3 linked regions of the Arabidopsis thaliana genome follow. The protein of the gene in region 1 interacts with the protein of each later gene in a pairwise test. Each region holds a gene or a part of one and is shown on either strand. Other genes may lie near its edges.

The links.
Region 2: the proteins of PEP (region 1) and HUA1 interact in a two-hybrid assay, tested with the Arabidopsis thaliana proteins (one study listed by BioGRID).
Region 3: the proteins of PEP (region 1) and HEN4 interact in a two-hybrid assay, tested with the Arabidopsis thaliana proteins (one study listed by BioGRID).

The regions. Positions count from the first base shown.
Region 1 is NC_003075.7:13,194,599-13,200,639, reverse strand, and holds PEP (RNA-binding KH domain-containing protein), read right to left. Parts: upstream 3,572-6,041; 5' UTR 3,361-3,571; coding exon 3,001-3,360; intron 2,767-3,000; coding exon 2,514-2,766; intron 2,355-2,513; coding exon 2,206-2,354; intron 2,124-2,205; coding exon 1,866-2,123; intron 1,708-1,865; coding exon 1,516-1,707; intron 1,377-1,515; coding exon 1,101-1,376; 3' UTR 799-1,100; downstream 1-798. Other genes in the region: AT4G26010 (Peroxidase superfamily protein), read right to left, coding at 1-71. UniProt on the Arabidopsis thaliana protein: Regulates vegetative and gynoecium development. In concert with HUA2, antagonizes FLK by positively regulating FLC probably at transcriptional and post-transcriptional levels, and thus acts as a negative regulator of flowering.
Region 2 is NC_003074.8:4,024,122-4,031,333, forward strand, and holds HUA1 (floral homeotic protein (HUA1)), read right to left. Parts: upstream 5,020-7,212; 5' UTR 4,879-5,019; coding exon 4,488-4,878; intron 3,724-4,487; coding exon 3,476-3,723; intron 3,082-3,475; coding exon 3,025-3,081; intron 2,933-3,024; coding exon 2,861-2,932; intron 2,705-2,860; coding exon 2,648-2,704; intron 2,546-2,647; coding exon 2,348-2,545; intron 2,168-2,347; coding exon 2,130-2,167; intron 2,033-2,129; coding exon 1,986-2,032; intron 1,886-1,985; coding exon 1,767-1,885; intron 1,681-1,766; coding exon 1,627-1,680; intron 1,532-1,626; coding exon 1,391-1,531; intron 1,308-1,390; coding exon 1,155-1,307; 3' UTR 955-1,154; downstream 1-954. Other genes in the region: AT3G12685 (Acid phosphatase/vanadium-dependent haloperoxidase-related protein), read right to left, coding at 5,124-5,363, 5,489-5,555, 5,638-5,675, 5,765-5,899, 5,979-6,140; AGC1.5 (AGC kinase 1.5), read right to left, coding at 6,475-7,212. UniProt on the Arabidopsis thaliana protein: Involved in flower development. Functions in floral reproductive organ identity by binding AGAMOUS (AG) pre-mRNA and promoting its processing. Functions in association with HUA2 and HEN4.
Region 3 is NC_003076.8:25,741,576-25,748,722, reverse strand, and holds HEN4 (RNA-binding KH domain-containing protein), read right to left. Parts: upstream 5,378-7,147; 5' UTR 5,282-5,377; coding exon 4,676-5,281; intron 4,529-4,675; coding exon 3,620-4,528; intron 3,518-3,619; coding exon 3,248-3,517; intron 2,908-3,247; coding exon 2,473-2,907; intron 2,321-2,472; coding exon 2,244-2,320; intron 2,186-2,243; coding exon 2,047-2,185; coding exon of another isoform or gene 1,981-2,046; exon of another isoform or gene 1,508-1,980; coding exon 1,343-1,507; 3' UTR 1,071-1,342; downstream 1-1,070. Other genes in the region: AT5G64395 (uncharacterized protein), read left to right, coding at 426-521; AT5G64380 (Inositol monophosphatase family protein), read right to left, coding at 5,699-6,099, 6,205-6,601, 6,680-6,867. UniProt on the Arabidopsis thaliana protein: Functions in floral reproductive organ identity in the third whorl and floral determinacy specification by specifically promoting the processing of AGAMOUS (AG) pre-mRNA. Functions in association with HUA1 and HUA2.

The sequences.
Region 1 (6,041 bases):
CTCTCCCTTCCCTCTCCTGTGAATGATACTTGCAAGTTTTGTGATGAAATTCTAAGCCCCCGTAAATGCATATTTATATGTAGTTTTGGGGATAAGACATTGGCAAAGTAGAGAATGTTTCAATTAGAAGACGTGCATAATTGTAACGGTCGATACATTGACATTTGACGGGTTAGAGGAATCTATTAGGTATATAGGTAGTACCTGTTCTTTAATATTTGTTTTCATTGACAATAGAATGATTCCACGCGTCAAAGATTTGATTAATGGCCAACTTGCTGCGTTCAACATAATTCTGTCGATATCGAAAGGATACCACGTCTATGTCGATAGGTGGATTCTCTTTTGTTTAATTTTGTGATACATATACCTCTTTTCAGCCGTCCTTATTTATTATATTTGCTCTCTTAAAAACAAGAAGCTGTAAAAATGAAAATATAGCAAGGATTGTTTCTTGACGAAAAAAAGAAGAAGAAGCAAGGATTGTTTCTTGCAAGGATTGTTTCTTACGGTTTGAAGAAATAAAAAGTTAAAAACAGGCCTTAATCAGGTTTTAAAATGTGTAAAAATCATGAAATATACAACTTAAACACCTAGAGAATATTACTATATCATGTAAAACTACAAATATGGAATGATTGGTACATTTTTTCTGTCTGATCTTTTCCGTTACTAGTTACGAATGGACATTGAAATCAAAAAGTCTCATGTGGTTTGGTTCTTCGGAGAATGCTTTCATATTAGCATCATCAGATCAAAATAGAAAGCTTAAACTTATTCAATTAAGAAAAAGCTCCTACAGGTTATTGTTGTAAAACGTTAACTAAAAATTTCTTAAAACTGAATCATTCTGACTTCTGATAAACAAATTCATACAAAAAAGAAAGAAAAAACATGTTCTTATTTGACCAGAAACGTAGTGTGACATATATCGAGGTATGAAAAAAAAAAAAAAAAAGGGCACCTAGATTTACATTACACATTCCAACAACTACATTGGCTCTCTAGAACTTGTTCCTTTTCCCTCTCTATTATATTATAAATGAGCCTTTCTCTAAAGAGAAATTAATCTGCAAATAAACTTAAACACAGCAACCAATTCAAAGATTATAACTGCTGTAGCCACCAACATCAGAAGCTGGTCTATATTCCGAACCATAAGTTTGCCCAGTCAGGGTCGGTGTGTAGGTAGAAGGACCCCCCAGCTGAGAGTATGCTGTTGGTCTGTACTGCACCGGCTCTGTGCCCATGTAGGTGCTCGGGAGCGGCTCTTGACGGTTACTTAGCTGAGGAGGATATGCAGGTACATATCCAGAGTCGATTCTGGCATATCCCCCTGATACCGAAACTGGTTCCTTGTGATTGATGATGAACTCCTACACACACGTAAACAAAAGAATACGGTTATGATGAAGCAGGCGGGGTAGGATGCAAAGCAAGCATAATCTTAGTGTTTATACAATGCCACGTCGCAGAAAGTATATATATATATATACAGATCGAATGTGTTCTTACTTGAATTAGTTGCTCAGCAGTTTGTACTTGAGAAGTTGTGCCTTTGATTTCCACTGTGATTTGATCAGGATGCGGACTCTCTTTAATGGTTATGGTAGCTCCGCTTCTTCGACGGATATAGGCTATATTAGCTCCTTCTACACCAATAATATCCTCTGCATAGGAGAATGGTATTTGCATCGTTTGAGATACCTAGTAAGAGAATCCATTATAGAAACGTCACTACTAGTTCAGAGAAACAAGTTAGATGTGTTAAGATCAAAATCACTGCTGGAAGACTAATCATAACAAGTAAGATGATATCGCTAAACTCGTTTTCAGGAGCTGATGTTGTATTTAAGGGAATCTACCTGTGTCACAAAAGCAGAAGAAACCCGAGCAAGACCTGGGGAGTGTCTGGCAGACAGTACAGGATCCTGACTGTAGATAGAAACTCCCGAAGGCTGAACACGTGAGTCCACCCGAGAATCGCGCTCCAGAAACAAAGGTTCCCTCCGTGCTAAGAGGGAGAAATCAGGCTCCATTAGATTTGACGAAATAGTATGCAGAGATGACTTGCTTTCAGCTAACGGTTCTTCCTGGCGAGTTTGAGAGACCCTAGCTAGATACTGAAGATAAGAAAAGATAACAATAATTCAGAAAAGAAAAAAAAGGGAAAGGAATAATCTCGATTGAAACAAGCAAGCTTACTTGCTTCTCGAAGAGAGGGACAACAGTATGGTCAACTAAAAATCTCCTAAGGTGTCCAACAATGGCTTCTAATGCTTTAAGAATCTTTAAAGCTTCCCCTTGCAAATCCACTATCCTCTCATCCTGTGCAGCATAAAACGGTGTTTCCTCTGGCAGAAAAAAGTAGAGAAATAAGAAACTGGCAACAAAGACACCAATTTTAGAAAAAAAAACAGACATGAATTGAAATAGCAAAAACTAAACTTTAACAATCACAAACAAAGAGATCAATTAGGTAAAAACAGAAAACTGCAGATGATAGATAATACCTTCTGATAAAATACGAACTGATGCACCAGAGTTCTCTACTATAGACTTAATCAAAGATCCTTGTTTTCCAATCAAATTAATCGCCTGCGTTGAAGCAACTAATAAACGCACTGAAGAGAAGACACTTCCAGCGTTTTGAACATCATCATCATCATTATCAGGCAACCCTGAAACACGTCTAAACACCCTCAACACTGCGTCCATTGCCGGTGACATGTAGGCCTCTGGTTCTTCCTTACCAGATATTAACACCTAAAACATAACATTGAGCAAGTAATTAACTTAGTGAACACTTCAAACTATAATTGGAACCATAAAGTAATCAAATTGCACAACTAGGGGATAAAAGTTCACAACTTTAATGATCACAACTCAAGAATCTTCCTACTTATGATTAAGAAACCCTAGAAATAGAAATTAAAAATCCCCAAATTCGAATTAGCTTTGAACACAGTAAATCACGTAGAAGGAGATAGAGATACTAACGATGCGATCGGGAGTATTAACAGGACCATCAAGGACTTTGATACGAGCACGAGTCTCCTCACACATCTTCTTTATAAAGTCACCTTTGCGTCCAATAATAGCTCCGACTTTAGTCACCGGAACGATCATACGAAACACGCAATCACCAGGCCAACCTGGCCACCTCTCCTCCGCGGAATCGTTCGTATCGGGGAAGGTAGTCTCAGCAGCAGCTAAGCTATCGGGCTGATTCAATTCAGGGAAAGCGCCAGAGTTTTCGTCAAGCAATGCGGCGGCACTGAATCCCGCCGGTATAAGGTTTTCATTCTCAGGGAGGTTTATGGAACCGTTGTTCTCAACGGAATCTGCGACGGCGGCCATTTGAACCGGTAACACAAAAAAGATAGCTAAAGAGAGAGACTTTTTAACCTCTGGTGGTGGTTATAGGAATCGCCGCTGTCATATCGTACGACGTCGTTTTGGCTTAATGGTTTGGGCTTTTCGATATGAAACCATTTTAGCCCATTTGCTATCATTTTTGTTTTGTCGAAAAATTGTCCATATGAGCTATGTATTAGGTCTATGTTTAACCAAAGAATGAATACTCCAACTCTTCTCTACTTGGGTATATGTTTGAAGCTTAGGATATTAAGAAAAAATGTTTCACCATATATTTTAATGTTATGTTATATCATATGTATCTATATATAGTATTTTCTTAAATATATGTTTGAAGCTTACTACATAGTAACATACTAGTCATGCTTTCTTTTATACTTTTCCCCCTAAACTCAATCATATGTGGTTTCAACTTTTCTAAGTCATTCACTATTTTGCATGATTTGTATTGATTAAAATAGTTACGATGAATATCCACAGTAATAGCCGCAATCAATTAACAATATAAATAGATATGTAAATAAGAACATTTTCGAACAATATAATAGAATACTATATGAGACAGAAGTGTATTATTATTCATTATACCGTAATTTTGGAAGATTTTAGTTAATATCCGTTGTCTTCATATGCAATATGCAATGGGGATGAAAGGGACGTAACATAGAAATTATCTGCTGGCCCGTAAGATACTTATCTCTCTGCCGCTGCGAGTCCCTTTTTGTATCTTAGTTTTTTAGACTTTCTTGATTTAAGAAAAAAAAACAGTTTGTTTCTATCTAAGTTTTTGATCTTTGATCAAACATTTTTTTTTGGATCAGAAACTAAAATGAGATTTTAAACCGAAGAAGGAAAGTGAAAGACGATGCTATTGAATGAGTCCGTCCCCCATGCTGAATTAAAATTGGGAATTTAGGGCAAAACATATATACGTGTATACGTACGATAATGGTCCCCTCAATACACGTAGATATGTAATGGAAGAGAGTTCACTTGTAGTTTGTAACTATTTGGGTCAATCTTGTACAGTGCCCTAATCGACTCTCAAGGGTCACATGCTTAACATCATACTTATACATTTATCACATTTGAAGTGTCTACTTGCATGAATTGAACTTTTTTTAGTTACTTTCCGAACAATTTCTTACATATATTTATTAGCACTATTTAGCTCTAACTAATTACATCATTACTAATTAACGTCCCCAATCTGTCTATTCAACACCTATGAAAGGTAACATCTACCGTGATGTCAAAAAGAAAAGGTAACATCCATCAACCGTTAATAAGCATTAAACCGCTTTAAATATCTTTGTTATCCAAAGGTAACTAACAGTAACATTAATTAGGCATATATATACATCATCATGGAACACAAACAATCTTCTATTCCTTTACTTCCATTTCCATCGACCAATTAGATTGATGCTCCTTAAAAATGTTTGATGAAGATGTGCTTTACCACTCCAATACATTTGTTTTATATTCAAATCTTTTTTAATGTCTGCTTTTCTTTTATAGTACAAAACTCAGATATGAATTTGAAGATAGATTGAATATTCTGCTTAAAAGGAGAAAAGCTGAAGAAAAGAAAGTAGAAGACGACAGGTCACATGTTGACATGTTGTCATAAGAAAAGAAAGAGTAATAACATAAGAAGATTCCAAAAAATAAAAATTAACTGGGATGGACTTTGGAGACGGTGGCCAGTGTTGGCAGAGAGAGGTTTTATCCTTTCTTTTCTCTATAGAAATAAAATCTCATATTTCCCTCCTTACTAAGTTATAGATTCTCCTCGTATATATATGTACACATATGTTCAATGACTGATGGGAATATAATCTTTAAATATGTTAACTCAAGTACTAAAATTCTCATTTTTCTACGTCTTGTCTTGTTAAATACATAGGAAAATGACTGGTGGGAATATAATCTAGTATATGACAAAGACAAAACTACGTATATTCATCCCTATATTCATCTGATTGTGTGAAAAAAAGAAAAAGAGTAAACGTATTCATATCGATACATGAGAAAATACTACTGTTCAATAGCAGTAACATACTAAACTCGTTTGACACAAACAATCGAAATAATCTCTAAGAAACTGTAAGAAAATCTAACGCTATGACGAAAACGTATGATTGCCCTCTGCCACATATCACTTCCGAATGATACCAAATGGGTCCAATCGTTTCTCATTACCCAATAGCCACGCGACTCTCTTTCTCTCACTCTCCACATTTTAACTTTGAATGAATTTACCTTGCGGAAAAAATTACGACTTACTTCAAACTATAGTCAATAATTTATATTTGTTTTTTTTTTCACAATTTGGTATTATTCTACAATAAGTCTTATTTTAGAAGTTGAGGGTTTTAGTCCAGTCGTTGGGGTTCTAGGGATGTATGAAGACGATAACTTATTTCGAACTGTTATATCCATATAAGAAACAGCACATGGTGCTCTTGTTTTGGTTGATGTAAATCAAGAAATCTTCTTAGTCACATATCTAAAATTCGGTCTAGAAATAGTTTTAGATATTTGAAAAATATGTTAAGCAGATAAAGTTACTTTAGCCATATGTTACATTCCAATGCCAAATTGAAGTTTCCTAGTGTAAAGGAAAACACCACGTCATCACAGAAATCTAACAAACGCAA
Region 2 (7,212 bases), on another chromosome or scaffold:
AATCATCAAAAAACACAGAACACGGTAAGGAAAGATAAGACTTTGAGAAGATATCTCTACCAAACATAGAAGAGATTATCGGGTATGAGTCGAAACAATAAAGTGAGCAGAAGAAATTTACGAATTCTACCTTTCACCAACAAAAATGGCCTTCTGGATTTTCAAGGCGGCGGCTTATAAGCTAACCTGCGAGACCCTCACTCTTATTTAAACCCAAATTGAAAGCAAATCAAAATAGTTTTTTTATTTGGTCAAAAGTTTTTTAATCTCAAAATAATACATCAACATTGGGCTTGAGTAAGAAAATAAAATAAAAAGGGACTGAAACGGTAAATTTCAAAACCATGGTAAATTTATTTTTCTGCTCCAGACTCTTGAGATTAGATTTAGGGTTTGTGACACTCGTGTTTGTGTTGTGGAAGTTTGCATAATTTTGGTAAGATAGGCCCAAAAGAGTATTTTGGATTATAGAAGTATTATAGGGAAGTGTGCTCATATTTTTAAAAGATCCAATCAAAAAGGCATCAAACTTTTTGAGTCCTCCTTTGCTACTTTCATCATTTGTCGTTATACCATTAATAGAGGCCTTCCACATGTTTCATCAAAACTTAAAATCAGAGACACGGAGACAACTAGTCCATGTTTTCTTCCTTTGCCTCTGTTTCTCATGTCATGTCCTCTTCTTCGACTCTTAAGAACAAAACATTGGACCCACTTTTGATTTAGCAGTTAGCACCGACATGTGTCTTGCTGAAGAAGCATGTTTCATGCACTGGCTCTCTGTCGTCACTCTGTCACATCTTGTTGTTACGTGTTGTTTCATCTTATTGTGGAGATTAGTTGGAGTTTACTGACAATTGCTATAAACAAAATCACAATGGAAACGATATTTATCCAAGAGAACCGAATCAACGGCAGATAAATGCTCAATTGGATCATTGAGGAGAGAAGAGTGGTGATGAACAATTTTGCTTTTATGAGCTCAACTGAGTAAAAGAAGACTCACTCAACGATATCTTTTTTGTTTTAGGATGATAAAGAGAAGTAGAGAACTCACGAGCGATAAGCATTTCGAAACGAAACAGATGCAGTACATAGGAAGTAAACTAGGATTACAACAAGATATCATCTTATGTTACACAAAGCTGGGAAACTCATTGAGTAGTGTCGGTGTTGGTTGCTCCAGCAGCATCGGCTTCTGAAGTGGTCTTAGCCATCACCTCACCTGGAGGAGGATGGTCAAACTTGCATGTTGCCCCGTATTTGCAAGTTCCTGTCTTCATGTAATAAGGGCAATTAAGCGCACCCTGCAACAGTTTTTGTTTTGTCTATGAGATTACCACACAAACTCACAACATGCAGGCTTCTAATAATACCACTTTATAGGTACCTCTCTTCTGGGATACCCTGCAAGACTCAGCTTTACATTTGGTTGTTGAGGAGCTTGTTTGGTCATTGCACTTAACCTATCTGCTGGGTGATGGAATTTGCATCTCTCTCCAAACTTGCACTCCCCTGTCTTCATGTAGTACTGTAATATTGAAAGACAGAGCTTTTGGTATAAAATTTCAACTAACATGTGGGAGAAAAAGCTCAGCAATCTCTAAAAGAAACAAGGATACTAACGTCACATTCTGATTGTCCAGGTCTTTGGGGATAAGTTGCTGAAATCACTCCAAGCTGAAACAATTTCCACTCTAATTAAACCCCTATCAACTAAAGAAGCGCTCTTGAATATTTCTCACAACATGAATAAAGGCTTTTACCGTGGGTTGAGTAAGAGTCTGATAGAAAGAGGTAGCTGGTGTAACCAGCCCAAGGTTCAAATTCGCAGTGTTCGATGAAACTAGAGAATAGTTTACCCCAGCAGCTTGGGGAATGAATGCTGTGCACAGAATCAAAACATCGCACATTATGAGAATTTAGGGATAAAAGTAATACGTTAAAGGTTCTAAAAACCACAAAATTTTGGCATGATCACAAACCAGTCCTCTCAGGATGATTGTAGCGACAAGTGGCTCCATACTTGCAGCTGATTATGGAAAAGGAAAACAAGTTAGAACGTTAATGTCACGTTCTTTGTTTCAATGTTCTAAACAACAAAATAGTATTATACAAGAGATATTCACCTTCCCGTTTTGAGATAGAATGGGCAGTCCACTTCACCCTGAAAAAGCTACAATCTAATTAGTGAAACTTCATTCTCAGACGTCAGAACAGGTCAGCATACAATGCTAGCAAACCATAATCAGTTCTAAGTATAGTGCCAATAAGATAGTAGAAAGTCACAAATTGTGCCTATATGATTATAAGTCAGTCTTATGCAAAGTGAAGATGAATTCATTACCGATCTAACAGGTAGTCCTTTTGAGTTGTGATACAATGCTGGGGTAAATGTGACATGCGGATTGTTTGTGGCATCAGGCTCACTGGTTAACCCCACACTGCTACCAATATCTTGACTCGATGATGGTAGCTGGATATCCTTTGGATGGTGGAATTTGCATGACAAACCAAATTTACATTTTCCAGTCTTCATGTAGAACTGATGCAGAGTAGAAATGCCAAATTAATAATCGATATTAGTTTCATATGTAAGAGCATTTATAAAAATAGGATAGGTCAATCAATTATGTTTATATCTTACTGTGCACATAGGTTCAGAAGGCCTCTCAGGCAATGAATCTTGAGTTTCAACACTAACCTGAAATAAAGAAGAGCATCAAGCTTCTAGGTGCATGCACAGCCCAAGAAAAAACTAAAGCAGTACATATTACAAGCACAAGATTTTATGCGAGTGTCTGCAGGCAAATACACAACCCGAGGGATAATTTTATTTGGAAAAGGAAAATTCACTTACTGCAGCCTCTTCTCTTGGATGATTAAATTTGCACTTTGAACCATATTTGCAGCGTTGTGTTTTTATATAGTACTGGATAACAGTGAAAATAAAAGAAAGATAGTCTCAGGTCTTCAGGCGAAACAGAAATAAAATAGCTCGAAAAGTTTTCACGAACAGCTTACAGGACAATCTGGTTCTCCTGGTCTCTCAGGATACTCTTCATTTGGAACAACTGGTGCCTGAATGAAAAGATATTCATAAGCAAAAACAATCATATCATTTTATCATGTAATGCCTAGACAATGAGTATGATGTCTCTTCCAAGTCAAGGAATGATCTGACAAAGGGAAAAGCAAGGATAACAAACACGGTTGCAGAAGTCGGGAAGCTCAAATCTTGAATAACAATAAGATACCATTTGTCATACCTATACCTACACTATCATGATAATGTAGTAATTCTATAACCTCGTATACCAAACAAAAACAATATATATAGTTACAAAGTAATTAGGCACAAACTCCCACAGTATAAAACATATAAGTACATAACAGAATATAGAAAAACGTTATCATAATAATGTAAAAATCATATGAGGGCATAAGAAATACTTAGATAGTAGTAAACGATCACCTCTTTCCAATCTGGGATTCCGCCCTCAGGAACCCAAATAGGATGATCAAACCTGCAGCTTTCTCCAAATTTACATGTTCTTGTTTGCATATAGTGGGTACAATCTTTCTCTCCTGCCCTCTGTGGATATATAGGCAAATGGCTTGTACTCTCCAACTTAGGGCGCTTGGTAAAATAGTCTGTAGTATACCAAGCTTCGGTTTGACCAATTGTATTATGGGCACCCAACAGAGTCGGATAGTAGAGCGCTAAATTACATAATAAACAATAATATACAACGAAATGAGAAGATATATACTGACTATAAGTATAATTTGAAAATAAATTTGGGAGATACTATAGCAAAAACCAAGATATAGCATCAATAATCAATTGTATCTTTAGTTAAACTTACAGTAAGAAATTCTGGCTTACATACAATCATGTCTGAAAATCTATTGGAAACCATAGAGTTACAACAAAACATAAATCATCAATCAATTCTGCAAAATCACCAAGTGTTCCAATAAACATTAAGGTCAAAACTAAAAACAATTATCGTTAGGCAATCCTAAAGCAACAAAGACTTAATCAAGAACACTACCATAAGCTATATAGTTTATAGATGCAATCCCTAAGCATCTCCTGAAAGATGATTCTAACTGTCAAGCTTCGCGTTGTCCAGACTCAAAACAAAGCAATTGGCCAAACCAATCCAACCTCTATTTCAGCTAACGAGAAAGCACAGAGGAATACAAACCAACATCATTGTGCTTGAGCAAATGTAAATTAAAATCTATCCTAGAAAGAATCAGGCTAGAGACCATGACTAAAGCTGAGTTTTTTATGCTGCAATTGAAGAAACAAACCATCAAAAACACTAATTTCCGCTACAGAACTAGAGTATCACGATGAGCAGAGAAAAGGGAAAGCTGAAGTCTTTAACTTTTCAAGTTATGCGGCATAGTTCTCCAAGCAATAAATAAGAAAATGATGCAGATCCCATAAATAGTAAGGTAAACAAAGAGCCTACCTTCAGAGGTGCGTTTGACACCAGGAGGAAGTGGCTCGACGGCGGAAGCAGCACCGGGAACCTCCACACCAGGTGGCCAAGCAACTTCCTGATGCTGAAGCAGCTGAGGATACGCCAAATGCGATGCCGTCGTGTTAGGCAAATGATGGTACATAGAGGAAGACGATGCAAGAGTCCCTGAATAGTTGCTCAAAGCTTCGGATCCATCACGAGCTAAGAAACGATACGTGGTATCCGGAAAGTAATGGTCAGCAGAAGAACCGTAGAGAGAAGAAAGACCGGTTTTTGGCGGCAGTGGTTGTTGCGGCGGAGGAGGAGCTGGAGATACGGTGGAGGCAGCAGCAGCATAAGAAGGTTGAAGGGCGTAGCTATACAATTGACGATGTGCCATTCGATCGAAAAAGGAAACCCTAAAGGAAAAAGCTTTCTACTTTTTTGGTGTCAAACAAATTATCAAAATTGTTGTGTTTGTGGGGTTTACAACCAACTCAAACAGAACAAAAATTCTCAGATCCATAAAACTTGATTTGACATTACCACTGATTCTCTGTTTTATTGCAGTTTGCACATTATTAAATTCTCTTTCTTTCTTATCAACACAAAAAATATATAGTTTTTATAAAGTTGGGAGCTTTTTTACATCAGGGAATAAACACTGAGGGTAACTAAGAAACCGAACAAAGCCCCTGCTATGACTTCAACTTCAGTGTGTCCTATTGATTCTTTCAATGGAGGAGCAATCTCCTCACTGATCTCTTCTGATGTCAAAGCTTTGTTAGATTCGTTGCCCTTTAAACTCATTACTTCACTTCTACGAGCATTAGCTGTTAGTTTGTTCAACACTTTGGCATGTTTTCCAACTTCTCTCCTCACCCCCTGCAATGTTACAATCAGTGAGACATTAAGATAACACTAGAATCAGACATTGAGAATTTGAGAATAACCAACAAAGACCTATTGAACAAAAGCCAGCCTAAGCTTTTCTCTATAGACTATTTTACCTGGGCATCATACATGATAAGGCCAGCATAAACCACAGTTAGACCAAAAATGGAGTCAGCAAATCCCCTGAAGCCAAACCATATTCAGGAAATTGCATAAGCTGAGTATATTTAGGGGAATTGAGAAGAGAAAGGTTCAGGCTAATCACCTTTCAAAAGCAATAGCAGTTGCTGCAGCCACAACAGACTGGTTTCTCAAGAATTAGGCCAAAATGTCAGAGAAGTAGACAAACAATATTACCAGAGGAAACAAGAATAAAAAAAGGATAAGCTTACAGAAGAATGTGTTGAAGGGAAACCTCCAGCTTGAAAGACACTTCTAAAGTCCAGATTTTTCCCATACAAAACGACAGAAGTGAATGGCTTTGAGAGCTGCCCAATCACAGCAGAAGTCCCAGCAGCTATGAGTACCTTCACGCCGGTGAAATCAAAAGCCTAAGTGACGATGACCCTCCAAAAAAAGGAATGAAAGAAGAGAAAAAGGCGAAACCTTGTTGTGGATGACCTCAGCGATATCTTGGAATCCAACATTGACAACGCAGGTGAGACGAGGTGGCTTCTTTGGGCAGCTTGCAAGATTGAATTTGGAGTTGGAGAAAGAGAAACAGAGATCATTGGCGTTATGAGACACAAAACAGTGCTTCATCAACATCTCTGTGCAGAAGATGGAACTTTGGTCGGAGGATGACGATAAGAATAAGGCAGCGAGAAATTTGGAACCAATGGTTCTGACGCTCTGTTATGTCGAGAAGAGTGTTGTCTCTTAGGACATTTTAATTGACTCAGAGAAGCTTTTGTGGATTTTTTCATTGACAAATTGTTATCTCACACACAAAATCTGCTTTAACTCTTTTAGTAAAACTCTTTTAGTCTCTTAAACCAAGTCATCTGTTCTTCTTTTATAAATCACAATTTGTATTCGCCAAAATTAAAGAATATGAACAAAAACAAACATATCGAAACTTTCAGCTTGTGGAGTTTTAAGTCTAAAAGTACTCGAAATCTATATACGCCGTATCATCCGTGGGACCAGCAGCACAGGCGACCAGAGGCTCCGGCTTCATTGAGTTACAGTGATCACCACCTCCATGGCTCTTGGTCTTACCTCTAGCGGCCGCGTACGGTCCCAAGTCCACGGGGTCTGGAATGTGAGGTGGGGCAGCACTACGAACTAGAGCCCAATTCACTCCTTCAAAGAAAGGGTGTTGCTTTATCTCTGTGGCCCCCCTCGTGTAAGCGATCCTTCTGTGTGGATCCTTCACTAGTAGTCCGCGGATGAGATCACGTGCCGCTGAGCTCACATGCGGGGTATCCGGGAACTTCAGCGGCTGACCCACCACATTGTGCAACGTGGCTCTGTTTCCCTGCCCCTTGAACGGGGTGGTCCCATGGAGGAGCTCATAAAGGAAGATCCCGAATGTCCACCAGTCCACAGCGCTGCCATGTCCCTCGCCACGTATGATCTCTGGAGCTAGGTACTCGTGTGTGCCCACAAAGGACATTGACCGCACATCTGTTGGCTCTGCCATGAGCTCTGGCATAGAGAGGCCACCGAGACCAGAGTCTGATTTCGCTTTACGGGTTTTCTTGGAAGGGAGTAGGCGGGGAAGAAAGGCGGATGGATGCATGCAGCCATTGACAGCAAACTCCTCATTGAGGATAGCACCTCCCCCGCTGCAGACTGAGGAGGATTTAACGAGGGTCGGATTAAAGGTGCAACGGAG
Region 3 (7,147 bases), on another chromosome or scaffold:
TAGCAAATATTCCGTTATTTAATTTTTGACCCAAACCTAAGATTCTAGAAAGACCCAAAAATATCTGACCTCCATCAATCATCCGTTGTTTTAATTTTGGCCCAAACCTAAGATTCTAGATAAGCCCAAACAATCTGACTTTTGCTACTTACTTATCCATTAAATCATCCGTTATTTAATTTGGGCCCAAACATAAGATTCTAGAAAAGCCCAAAATATCTGACTTTTGTTACTTATCCCTCAAATCATTCTTCCTCGTCTTTTTCGCATCAAATTCAACGATCAAACATAACTTTCGACATCGAGGAAATTCATATTTCAAAGTACCTTTACACTAGCGAAATTATATATATAAAAAATTAGTCAACAAAAAATTATAAGAAAAATATCTTTTACATACTTGTAATTTGTAAAAAAAAAGTGGAATGAATGGCTGGGGGTTTGATGTTTATAGTACAAAAGCTCCACATCTGATTCTGAGGAAGTTAACTCCAAGGAAGATCTTCTTCATCTTTGGATGATAACGAACAAACGTAATGTACAAATATATACGAATATTATTCAACCTCGCAAGACCCTCTTCTATAGACTCAAATTTCATAGTTTTTTTCGCTTTTGCACTATTTTTACGCATGAATCTTAATTTTGCATTACTATTGATTTGATTACTGATAGCGAGTATGGTATATCAAATGTGTATAGAATCTCTGATAAAGTTTGTAGTGTAGTTTTGCTACAGAAAGAACAAATGTTCTGAGATTGTGAAAGCTATAAAATGAAGGGGTTTACAAAACCATCAGTGAAACTCTGTTGACGGTAACAATTTTCAGGCTTTGATTTTGGAACTTTTTTTTTTTTTTTTTTTCTTTTTTTTTTGTCAAACAACTTTGATTCTGGAACTTATAGAGTAAAATTCCTATAAATTTTCTACCATTTGATTTTCATAGCTAAAGAAGGTGACAAAAGCTGGAAAAAAGGCAGTCTACAAAGAAATTGTGCAAGCAGGTTTTAGCAATCCAAAGCAGCCAACATATTGACCCGTTGTTATCAAGTTTTCCTTTTGTAAACATCTAGTACCGAACATTTTATGACAATGACTGTCCCTCTATATACTGTCAATCAAATCTCAGTTCCATGCGTAATAATGTGGGATAAAAGAAGAAAATTTTAGGCAAGACATCAAACTGATTCCTTCAAAGTACTTAAAACGAAAAAGATATTGTACAAGAGTTCAAAAGATCCAAATCAACAAAAAAAAAGGGAGATTAAATAAAAGGGACAAGAAACATGTGAGAGCTCGTTTCCTTTTTTTTGTTTTCTGTATGGTTATAAGTGTGTGGTTCTAGTTTAGGTTGTATTTTTTGGACAATGAGGTTTCACCTGTAAGGATGAAGGCATGAAGAAGGTTTTGGGCAGCCTGGGTTTGATCAGGTGTTCCAGATATGACAATGATCCTGTCACTTGTTCCTAGAGGAGGTTCATGGATTATGACCCTTGCACCCGATATCTGAGTAAACAAGCATCAAATGGTATAAGCTATGCTTAAGCCGTTTAAGTCAACCAACGGGGTGCTACTTCATCTTTATGACACTAATTATTTGGTCTGTAGATGATTATTTCAGACTGATGGGGCTAGATGAAAATTCTGTTTTTAAACAACGACTGTAACACTGAATAATGGAACAAACGTTGAGTACTTCAACGAAGATGGAGTTTTCGTGACTTAAAACAGTTTTTTTTGAGTAAAGTTATACATCGTTGAGAATAGTCCTAGACTCCTATTGACTTAGATTAATGGTAGCACGATTGTTTGCACCATGTATAAGACTTTACGTATATGAATTTTATTTTCTCATGCTTTCTTTTTAGTAACCCTAGAGTTCACTTCCGTTTTTAGTAACCCTAGAGTTCACTTACGTATAAGAGCAGCCAATGGAAACCAAAACCTATGGCTGCTCTTGTGGAGCAATTAATCATGGCCTAACCTCTTTTGGATGACGCTATGGGGAAAACCAATAAAAGATTTGTAAACAAAAAATGGCTTACCTGTCTCAGTTGTTCCAGATTGTAACCCTGCTCTCCATACACAAAGCTCATAGCATTAGCTGGAACTCTAATTTCCACGGTAGTGTTTGTAACGATGGCAGATTTGTGTCCACTAGAAAAGACCAAGCGAGCATGTAAACTACACAAAGATCAGAGTAATTATCTCACATAACTGTCTATAATTGTAGTGCTTTTACCTGCCAAGTACATGGCCAGCCCTTGCAGAAGATAATCCGCCACTGGCATCAGATAAGCCTCTTGGAGCTGCTGGAGGCTACATAAAAACTATGTCTATCAGCTACAGAAGTTAGATAGAAGCACAAATGTTCAAAATCTGAATGTGTAGAGGAAGAATGGGAGTATCAACAAGTACTTATGTACAGCAGAAAGGGGAGGATGGGAGAATACAGAGAGATGGAGACATACCGGGGACGCCCACAAACGAGATGGGGCCTCAGTTAAGTGATGGGAGTTATCACTGTGGTCCATGGTAAACCGCCGACCAAAATTATGAGAATAGCCTGCTGAGGGATTAAACCTATCAGGAAATGGGTCTTCTGGTCTTATGTAAGGATCTGTGCCAACTGATCTGGAATAGTTAACTGATGAATGAGACCCACTTAAAAAGGAATCCTCAGATCTTCTGTGCAGACTTGAGGAGTTGGTAGCTGGATTACTAACGGATTGATGAGACCCAATAGACAGAGGATTGTCTGATTGTCTGTCGTAGAATCTCTCAGTAGTTAAGGCGGAGCTGCTCTTGGCTAAGGAATTTTTCATTGAGTTGGAGAAAACACTGTCTCGCAGCCTGCTTGTAATATGGAAAATGGCTTCTCTCACATTAGGGAACTCTCCTGTAATCTATTGGCCAGTAAAGAATTAGTTTATGCCAGACAACTTAAGGAACAATGGAGCTTACAATATGACCGAGTTAATCTCTCAACCAAGTTTACAGTAAATGATCTTTTTAACTCTCTGTTTGCATGAATCTTTCAATTTCTTTCAGAATGTAGCAATAACTAAAACACCACCAACTTTTGACAAGTGTGCAAGGTGAATAGAGACCAACACAGGATTCGGTAATGAAAAGCAAACCACTAACATTTAGCATGCTAATTCCAAATTATGCTCACAAATCAGATGAGAGATTGTCACGTGGAATATGTACCATAACCATAAGGTCAACAAATGATCTAAGTACCTGCACAACTTGATCATTCTCTGAAATACATTTTGGGTTCTGCTCAACCTTCAAAATTTGAATTGCAGCCCCAGTGGTTTTCCGCATTTCCGAAACAATAACACCTCCTTTTCCCAGCACACAACCAATCTGACTTGTTGGGACAACAAGCCGTGCAGTGATAGATGACCTTGGGCCATTATCTAGGATTTTGTTAGTGGCAAGCTCAAATAATCTTGAAAAAATAAGCATAATCGCTTTCTGGGCTGGCGAGCTTTGACATTCAGGGTTCTACATGATGAACAAGCAACAATTATCAACCAAGGATAGTAAATAGATGGAACAGTACTGCATAAGCATCCATGAAAATGGGAAGAAATAGAAAACACCAACCTCTGATGCAGTTACTGCAATCAGACGTTCTTCACAATCATCAAGTGTATTTCCCACATTTATGAAGGCACCTGTTTCGCTATGAAGCATCCTGACAACTTTACCTCCAGTCCCGATAACTCCGCCAGCATTCTCAGTGGAACAAAGTATCTTAAAAACCACATCTTGGTTCCCTACTTCCACTTCTGATGGAGGTGGCTTCATGGTGGCAGTGTTAGCCATTGAAGCAGACGTAGTGAAGCTGTGAGGATGTGTGTCTAAAGTCGAATAACGATGTGCAAGATAATCTGCACTTTGCCCACGAAGAGTTTCTTGTGTCATTGTTTCAATAGGCCTTCCGTAAGCATCACGTGGAAACGACTCAAAAGGCATGCCCATAGCATCACGTGGAACCATTTCGAAAGGTCTATGCAAGGAATCATGAGAATCATCCCTCTCTCTATGCTGTCGAAAACAATCTCCCCTGAGAACATCAGAAGGCATGTATAACGTTTCTTGAGGAACTACATCAATACGCCTGCGTAAAGCATCTTGCCGGTCCGCCTCAACATGCCTGCGTAAAACATCTTGCCGGTCTGCCTCAATATGCATGCGTAAAGCACCCTGGGGAACCGCCTCGATACGCCTAAGATGCAAAGTATCATGAGGAATCACATCATTAGCCCGAGCTACAGTGCCCCGGGGAAATATCTCGTCGTTTCTCAGCCTATAATCGTAAGGGTTAACTTCAACGGACCTAGGAAGTGACTCCTGAATTATTGTCTCTATAGGCCTATGCAAAGATGCTTGGAACTCTTTTTCGAGAGGTCTGTTTCCAACCATCCTTACCTTGTCAATCGATTGACAATTTTGCAAGCAGCGGGAGATAGACACAAGAGCTTTCTTTACAGCGATAGCATTTCCTTCAACCTGCCATAGTTCAATATGAAAACCAATACATTACAATCTGCAAAAAAACAAGCATCTATAGAGTGCTAAACCAACGTTTCAGCTCAAAACATTTTCTCCAAAGAGATATTCATAGTTTCTAAATTTAGTATCAATTAGAATTCGTACCTCCACCATCTCGTCATCAGTATCAGCGCAAATCGGCAAATTCTCAATCCGTATAGAAATTTTGCAGCCAGTTTCTTTCCTAATACTCCCAACCATTTGACCACCTTTGCCTATCACAGCACCGGCATGGCTAGACTCCGTCAACAATCGGCACACGACCGTATCACTATCAGCTTCCGCCGCTAAAAGCTCGAATACCTTAATCAACGCTCCTTGTGCTTTAGATACCTCAACTTCCTCCTCCTTTTTCTCTCCTTCTGCATTGCCATTGTTATTAGCACCCAATTTCACCCTTGATTTCGAATCTGCTTGTGCGATTATCGTGATGACCCGATCCGGAGACCCAGACGGAGGCTCCTCGACCCGTATCTTAGCTCCGGTTGATTGTTGGAGCTGTTTGATTACGTTTCCAGATTTTCCAATCACCGCACCGACGTGTGATAAAGGGCAGAGCAATCTAAACGCCGCGTGTCCCACCGGCACAACCAGAGCTGAGAGCAGCTGCGTGTGATGCGTTTTGACCCTCTTGGAAGATCCGAATCCTGAACCTGGATCAAACGCTCCGGATCTCTTCTCTGCATGAAATTTAACGCTATTTCGCTCCATTATCTCTCCTCTCTCTCCCTCTCCAATCTCGTCACGGCGGTTTCCGGCGCAGAGGACTTGAGAGAAGTCTTTGGTGGTCTTTAACGCTAAGTTGCTAACTTGCGCCAAATATCCGCATTATATATTTATTATTTAACGGCAAACCATACCGTACCGATTTTAAAAATTCTTACTAAACTTAACCGAAATCTAACAACCAATTTATGGGAGTGGGACTGTGTTAGAAATCGAAGAAAGATTGCTTCTGATAAAGAAACATAATAAACTTGTGAATTGTGATTATACCAGTCGATCTTGAATCTTGATAAACAGATATATACACGGATCTAACTTTCCTAATACATAATGTTACAAGCAACCAAATCTAACATCGATTCATTTATTGTTTTTACAGATAATATGAAACAGAGGAGTTGTTTAAACTTCATAGCCAGGGTTCACAGTCTGCTGCACATCTCCATAGCTCTCTAGCTCAGCAACATCCTCTAAGCTCCCAAGAAACAGAGGCAATCTTTGGTGAAGCTTCACGGGTTGTATCGAAAGTATCCCTCTTTTTCCATCAGAGGATTTGCCACCAGCTTGCTCCACGAGAAAAGCCAAAGGGTTACCTTCATAGACTAAACGAAGATGGTCTCTTGGATTCATAGCCACTCCACCGTATAAGAGAGTCCTGTGAAGATCAGCTACTAGAGAACAAATATAACGCGCAGAGTATTTTTTCGGGTTTTGACCTTTGCCTTGTCTCACTGTGTCAATGTACTTCCTTAAACCTTCTGGCCAATCAAAGTACCTCGCATCGTTCACTGAGTAGATTTGTCCTATTGTTGATCATACAAAAAACAACGATTAATGCAGGTTGTTCAGAGCCATGAATAGGAATGTCGCAATGGATCAAGTCATATGTGTCATTAGACGCTTTTTACCCCGAGTTGGGATCTTGATGTTTTGATGGGTAAGAACAAATTCTCCTGTGGAATGGTCTAGCGTGAAGGCGTGTGTTCCCGATCCAAGTGTAACACAGAAGATAGTGGCTGAAGAGTATAGCACATAACCGGAAGCTACAAGCCTGCTGCCTCTCTGCAAAGAATTGAGCTCAGCTTTCTCTTCAACAGGTAAATGATCAAGCTCAACGAGACGATTGTAAATTCCAAATATAGTTCCCGTGGGAATCGAAGCATCGATGTTCCGTGATCCATCTAGAGGATCTACAACCACAACGTAAGGACCATCATCTTTGATCCAAGTTGGACTATCGTTTTCTTCAGAAGCCATTACTGCTACTTTCCCTGAGTTTCTAAGAGAGGACAAGACGATATCGTTCTGCAAAACGGAAACATGAATTGTAAGATTGAATCTTGATATGAATCATGATAAAAAAGAGAGTAATAAGATACAGACCGAGACAATATCGAGCGGCTTAGGCGCATCTCGGTCTGACCCACTAGAGGAGTTAACAGAGAGCTTTCCGAGTGAAGAATTGAAAGGAGAGGCGACAAGAGAAGCGATTCTTTTGCAAGCATGTTGTAAGTGGTAAAGCAACACCACAAGATCCTCTCCTACATTTTTCCCTTCTCCTCCTCCACTACCTATCAGAAAATTTCATAGAACAACTTAAAATAATAATAAATTTAAGACTTCAATCAAACTGCTTATACAGAGGAACCGTCAAAAGTCAAAACCCAACCATTGTTCGTCTAAGAGAGTTTCCAAGATTTGTCTTACTCAATTAAGCACATTTTAGATGCTAAATTCAGGGTATTTCCACTAAAGTTACGGATTTTCGGACATAGATTGACAATGGATGACAGACAACACATTAACTTGAATTATCGAGACAGTGCTAAGTTCGTTCAGACAGAGCAGTTT